Linked DNA regions of Kluyveromyces lactis. The protein of the gene in region 1 interacts with the protein of each later gene in a biochemical or structural test. Links are inferred from orthologs where the notes say so. Each region holds a gene or a part of one and is shown in the gene's direction. Other genes may lie near its edges.

Region 1 (4,380 bases):
ACTGGTATAACGCCTAATGGTATTGATCTTCTACAATCGTACGTTGGAAAGACTAGTGATATTCAAACTGCTGCACTAATTTCAGTTTTCGGCTCCCCAAGATACTTCATGGACCCAAGAGTTGATGAATGGGTTGAAACATATCGCCATATGTTAAATTCCTGGGAATTTTTCACTATGAGGGCCAAGTTCGATGTGCTCAAGACAAAATTATCTAGGACTAGTGATGGTCGAATTACAGCGAAGTTAAAACCTCGTCAAATGTATTTACAATGTTCCAAATGTAAGAAGAATATCAACAGACCCATTGATGTGTCTTCTAATGCATCCCTACCAAGACATGCTAATCAAAACTTAAATGCAGGAAAGAAATTCGGCCTCAATAATACAAACGGTGATGTCCCCCAACAGAAACATTCATGTCCACATTGTGGCACGCCTTTCCCAAGATGTGCTATTTGTCTCTTGCCATTGGGTACTTCAAATCTCCCCATAGTCATCAATGGCACCACCAACTCATGTGAAGTACGAATCGATGACGACGCGAAAATTAACGAGGTCAAGGAAAGAAAGCGTTTGAAAATGAACGAATGGTTCAGTTTCTGTCTCAAGTGTAATCATGGTATGCATGCCGGTCATGCAGAGGAATGGTTTGAAAGACATTCAATTTGTCCTGTTCCTGGGTGTTCGTGTTTATGCCATCAATGAAACACTCTACCAATATTTCGGACCTAAACGCTCTAGGATAAATCATTAAACTTGTTATTCAGCGTATATAATCTCTTTAATCCTTAACCTCGCCAAAAACTCATTTCTCCCACTATTAGTACATACAAATATCTCATATGCAGATATCAAGCGGCTGAACGTTGCTTTCAGAATGAATCATTACGCATCCACAAAATAATGATACTAGCAACGCAGTACCATACTTGGAAAACTTCCCCGAGCATATTCATCGAGTTATAGGATGGACCGTGGTTCAGCGATGGAACTTAAAGCCATCTTTTCCATCATTGCCCACCGTCATTCGCATGAGCGCAAGCCTCTTCACGTGACTAGTTAAGATTCCCCGATCAGTTGAAATGCGTGAGCTCTATTTCAGGAAATCATGTGGCGAAACTAAGAAAATAAAAAGTTTGATCTATCCAGATACAAACAAATATATGGTTTTTTTTGATCTCAACAATATCTTTAAGGATACCAAAAACTAAAGGAAAGAACGACTATAAACAACGGTTTATTAAGTCAGTTTAGTTGGGACTTTTTTTTTCGTTGAATATTTCTCTTACAAACATTTTTTTCTCAGTGGTTTGGGATCTTAAAATATTGGTATTCTGGGCGAACACAGCTTGAAATTGTTTCAGATCAGATCCTGTCAAAGTGGTGCGTTGATTCTATTTCATGAACTTATAAGGCACCAACTAGCCATCTAACGTATGAACACTCTGAACTGAGCATAAAAAGATATTACTATTGTATGAAACTATGGATGAAGATCGTAAACACACTGCATTCCCTGTTGAACAGGACATCTACAAAAAGATCGAAAGGGAAAGAAACATTATACTGGGTTCGAATCAATTGAAGAAAAAGACTGATAATGTCATGGTCATACAGAAATGCAACACCAATATTAGAGAGGCTCAACAAAATATAGAGTACTTGGAACAAATTCTAGCTAAGTTGAGAGTCAGTCAACAGCCAGACAATACTCCTACCAGCCAGAATGCTAGCAATCATCCCGGTTTTGGTCAGCTATCTACAATATCACCAGATGAGTTTAGATACTCTAGACTAGATCTGGTAAAGTACGATTGTCCATCTTTGTCGCAAAGAATTCAATACATGCTCCAGCAGTTGGAGTTCAAATTGCAAGTTGAAAAGCAATATCAAGAGGCTAATGATAAGTTAACTAAACTCTACCAAATTGATGGAGACCAGCGGAGTAGCAGTGCTGCACAAGGTGGATCTGTTGAATCTAAACACAGGATTCAGCTCTTAACAAAATCATTGAAAAAATATCAGGCCATCAACGTTGATATCGATCCTTTCAATGATCACACAGAAGAAGCAACTCAACCAAAGTTTAGGAGAAAACAACTATCAGGTACTCTGACTATCGGTGTTACTGCAATTAGAGATGTTGATCATATCCAATCCCCTCTATTCTCGAGAAAGCCAGAGACATTTATTACTATCAAAGTCGATGATGTGGTAAAAGCGAAGACAAAACCATCGAGAAATGATAGGTGGCACGAAGATTTTAACATAGTCATAGACAAAGGTAACGAGGTAGAAGTTACAATATATGATAAGGTTAATGACAGAATTGTACCAGTAGCTGTCATGTGGTTATTACTTGCCGACATCGCTGAAGAAATTCGGAAAAAAAAAGTCGGTCAACAGCAAAAGCAAGGAAAAAGCCACGCTGAATGGATGCAGGCCTCTAGACTTCCACCTTCTCAACCTGCGAATAATACAGCTGTAATTACAAAGGATTTACCGCAATTACCCGATGCTGGAATCCCCACGGAGGATAGAGAAGCAAACGACACCCACACGCAGAGTTTAACCACAAATACATGGTTCATCTTGGAACCTGCCGGGCAAATATTATTGACACTTGGTTTCAATAAGTCAAACACTACACAAAGAAAGACCTTCATGGGTGGATTACATCGTCATGGTGCTATTGTCAACCGTAAAGAGGATATCTTTGAGCAACATGGGCACCATTTTGTCCAAAAATCGTTCTACAATGTCATGTGCTGTGCATATTGCGGTGAATTTTTACGGTATAGTGGCTATCAATGCCAGGATTGCAAGTTCTTATGCCATAAGAAGTGCTACGCGCATGTGGTTACAAAATGTATTGCTAAAACAAGTACCGACTCAGATCCTGACGAGACGAAACTTAACCACCGTATCCCTCATAGGTTTGAACCTGTTTCAAATCGGGGTACGAAGTGGTGTTGCCATTGTGGGTATATTTTACCATGGGGTAGAAAGAACGTCAGAAAATGTACTGAATGTGGGGTTATGTGCCATGCTCAATGTGCTCATTTAGTTCCAGATTTCTGTGGTATGTCGATGGAAATGGCCAACAAAGTTTTGCTAACTATTCAGGATACTAAGCGTACTCAGCAGCAGAGAGGATTCAGTGGCATCAAAGTGAATAATAAACCCAAACCAATTTCTAAAGGCTTTGATGGGCTAAATAACAGGTTTGAGACCTCTTTTGATCATGATGATATGCATACATCCGTTATCAAGCCAACTACGCCTTCAGAAGCAAGAAAAGACCTAGTGACGGATCGTTTGAATAACTTTATAACGCAACATGATAGCCATTATGACTCATTCACCAGCAATGTGGAAACCAGCTCGCCAGATCACGGGAATTACCAACATAGCTTGGACCCCGGTTTGTCTCCTGATTCAATGAAAAAGATTCAATTCGATGCTGCTCATATAAGTAATCTTCCGCAGGCTCATGCGCAAGAGCATTTTGCGCAAGAATATGAAGGAAATTATGAAAATAAGCACCCTAATAAGCAAGACAGCGGATACGTACAAGATTATGGATATGAAGAGGAATTAGACGATTCAGAGCAATCTCACTATGAGCTTAGAGAGAGATTGAGAAAGGAAGAAGAAGAGAGATGGTACAATGAACAAAACATGTTACAACAAGAGCAGCAACAACAAACATACAGTACTGGGGACGTTGAGCTTGCCACCAAAAAGGGTGATTACGACATAATTGAAGAAACCGCCGATGTCACAGATGATCAATATTCACCGCCAGCCCAATATGAGGACCTCGAATACAGTCTCTCTACGACAGAAACTCCTGAGTTGCATGCCGCTGATATTGCCAACATAACAGGAAAAAGTTCACCATCTTCACCACAAAAATCATACACCAGCAGTACAAAGCATAAGAAAAAATCCTCCAAAAGGAGAAAGGTGTCTCTAGATGACTTCATTTTACTAAAAGTATTAGGAAAAGGTAACTTTGGTAAGGTCTTGCTAGCAAGATCCAAAAATACTAGTAACCTTTGTGCGATTAAAGTTTTGAAAAAGGATAATATCATCAAGAACCATGATATTGAAAGTGCTAGGGCAGAAAAGAAAGTGTTTTTGCTTGCTACGGAAACTAAGCATCCGTTCCTGACAAACCTATACTGCTCCTTCCAAACAGAAAATCGTATTTATTTTGCAATGGAATTCATTGGAGGTGGCGACTTGATGTGGCATGTCCAAAATCGAAGACTATCTGTCAGAAGAGCGAAGTTCTATGCTGCAGAAGTTTTACTTTCCTTAAAGTACTTCCATGACAATGGTGTTATATATCGTGATTTGAAACTAGAAAAC
Region 2 (3,036 bases), about 1.1 Mb from region 1:
AAAGTGTGACAGTGCACCCTATGTGCTGACCACCACTGGGAGCTGTAAATAAACCATTAAGGTTGATAAAGCACCACTGTTGAACGTCTTTTTAACAACCGAAGCTATGATAACTTCCCATTGATGTAATTAGACAGTTACATCAGAAGAATGTACCTTCAAAAGCTTAAATCGTTCATGCACAATAGAAGAGAAAGGGAACACAAAAAAAAAAAAAAAATAGAAAAAAAAAAAAAGATAAGACCCTGCATACATTTTAAGGGTTCCAGTTTCTCTAGGGCACATGCTACAAATTTCTTATACAATAGCCCGTTAGGAACATCCTCGTGGAATGTAAGCCATTTCAAAAGAATAGAGTACTTTTATTTATTGCGTTAAACCCTCTTTCCGTGTGGTTATGTACATATCTGTGCTCTGCATGGAAAAACATCTGCAAACCATTGCAGTGTAGGCTGTAAGGTCCTCAGATTAAGAGGCGCCGATAACCCTGCTCATTCCAATGAGATGCTCAGAGAACTCGACGGTAAGTTGGAACCCTAATCTTTTGTACCATCGACAGGCCACATCATTGGCAGTGAATACGCATAGTTCAATTGACGGACAGGTCAGGTCACGTGCAAGTGGGATAAGTAATCCATTGAAAATAAGAGACCCTAAGCCACGTGACTGGTATTCTCCCATCAGATGGATTTCGTATAGGAACAAACACGGCCGATTCAATTTGGAGTGGTCCAATTCTGGATTCAATGGGTCGGATAATGCCACTGATGTAAAACCTACTATCTTAGTGGTATCTCTCTTGAACAAAACAATGTAGACTAAATCTTTATCCAGCATTTCATCCCATTTGAACCTAATCCATTTCTCGTTTCCCTTTCCTTTATCGTCATCAGTATAATTGTATATCGATGAGCCATGCAGCTCGTAGAACGTGCTCAAATTCTGTTTTATAATGGCAAGGCACTTCGGAAGTGTGGAACCAAGATAGTTTGGATCACCAGAGTGTACTCTATTACTAAATACCTCGCACACAACATCCGAATCACCAGTGCTATTCAATTCTTGGCAGAGTACGCCTGCGACACGTCTCAAGTTTCTACTATGGTAATTGGACATGTCTTAAGTCCATCACAGCTGGTTATTGAAACAGAAGCTCTTTCTATTGCTATTATGCTTCACCAGCGCGTATTAAGCTCCAACTTTTCAACAGTTTTTGTTGACATATTCCATGCCACTACATATTTGAAGCTAACCAACCGAAAATAGAAGGGAAAAAAAAGAAGTAATATATACATTCAGTGAATCGCAAATATAAGGTCAAGAACACTGAACAGTGAGACATAGTCACAATCCTTGGTAGTGGGACGTTGACCAATCAATAGGAGAGGCTTTAAAACATAGCTGTGTTCCAATGAATGCGATCTCTTTTTTGTCAAATGCACTTCCTGCTCCGCAGGAAGTGCCGATCAAAGAGAAGGAGGGTATATTAGTGGATCCGACCCCCACGAATACCCAACCGAACAAAGTAAAAAACAAGACGACGACGGCGTCAACAACAACATCAACAACAACAACGTCAACAGCTACGAATAAAAGGAATAGACCGTTTATGAGATGGATATGGTGCATATTAATATTCCTACCAAACTATTTGCTAATAAAACCTATCATAACGATCTGGTACGTTATCACATTCCCATTGAATTTAATGGAAACCAACACGCAGGGGAACAAAGGATTGATCCAGGTAGGATCAGAAACTGACAGTAGGACCGAGAAACTATCGAAATACGTGGTAGAAGAGGATCTATCACCGACTGATGAGATCATAATAAACCAGGATAAGATGAAACCAAGACCTATTACAGAATATTTAGGGAAATTTCATTTCCCCAAGAAATTAGTACCCCAATCAATGCTACTTTCTACCAGTCGAAAGCTTTTAGTACTCGATCTCGATGAAACGTTGATCCATTCCATGAGTAACAGTAGATCGTTAGGGAACCCAACAGACAAGAACCCTAGTGGCACCACACCAATGATACACCTGGTAGAGGTACGATTCCCGCAGACAAACATATCCACGTTATATAACGTTGCCAAGAGACCGTATTGCGATATGTTTCTCCAACAGACGAGCCAATGGTACGACATTGCCATCTTCACAGCATCCATGAAAGAGTATGCAGACCCAGTAATCGACTGGCTACAACAGACGTGTTCGGTACAGTTTCACTACAGATGGTATAGAGAAGATTGCACACTTCGGCCTGGCGTCGGTTACGTGAAGGACATCGGTACCGTGGCAACCCAAATCGAAACGTCACGTGACCTCTCTCAAATGATTATCATTGATAACAGTCCTATCAGCTACGCAATGCATCTGGACAATGCAATACAAGTACATGGTTGGATCAACGATCCAAGCGACTCGGAACTACTACACCTATTGCCACTACTAAAGGCCATGCGTCACGTGACGGACTCTCGCTGTATACTTGCACTCAAATCAGGTAGAGCATCGATCTCCAACTAACAGTGTTATTACCCTGTCCATAATATAGTACTAATTTGTAGAGATGCGAATATGTAGACAAGCGATTTAGGAACCGAAAGTAATCCCTGAACCGGCATCCAGAAAAGAAAAAGAAAAGGGCTATGTTCCTCCAATTACTCCAATTATTCCGAATGCACCCGAACACCCAGACACGCCACTAGTGGCATACCTCGGATCAGACCGGATACGGAATACATACGCGCTGCGACACTGCTCTCCAATTTTCCACTGTACCACGTGACGCTTGATAGTTTTTTTTTTTTTCTTCACTCCTTTCGACCACGCGCTACTGGATCTTCTGCGGCGACCGCATTCTGTTCTTCCTTTCTTTCCCTCACTTTGATGCGATTCTAACAAGGCGCCAGTCTTTAACTTGGCGCTGTACACCTTCACAAGGTGTGTCTACTTGGTTAATACGTTGACCGAATTACGGTTTGTGTTAGGATATGGATCGTTAATAGCATATAGGCGTATTGTAT

The links.
Region 2: of the proteins of PKC1 (region 1) and NEM1, one has a biochemical effect on the other in vitro, tested with the Saccharomyces cerevisiae proteins (2 studies listed by BioGRID). The link is inferred for Kluyveromyces lactis from reciprocal best matches to the Saccharomyces cerevisiae genes PKC1 and NEM1.

What each region holds. Positions count from the first base shown.
Region 1 is NC_006041.1:578,263-582,642, reverse strand, and holds the start of PKC1 (protein kinase C), read left to right. Parts: upstream 1-1,488; coding exon 1,489-4,380. Other genes in the region: SEA4 (Sea4p), read left to right, coding at 1-708. UniProt on the Saccharomyces cerevisiae protein: Required for cell growth and for the G2->M transition of the cell division cycle. Mediates a protein kinase cascade; it activates BCK1 which itself activates MKK1/MKK2.
Region 2 is NC_006041.1:1,651,481-1,654,516, forward strand, and holds NEM1 (Nem1-Spo7 phosphatase catalytic subunit NEM1), read left to right. Parts: upstream 1-1,411; coding exon 1,412-2,536; downstream 2,537-3,036. Other genes in the region: NAT4 (N-terminal L-serine N(alpha)-acetyltransferase NatD), read right to left, coding at 469-1,116. UniProt on the Saccharomyces cerevisiae protein: Catalytic component of the NEM1-SPO7 complex which acts as a phosphatase and dephosphorylates the phosphatidic acid phosphohydrolase PAH1. Essential for the formation of a spherical nucleus and meiotic division.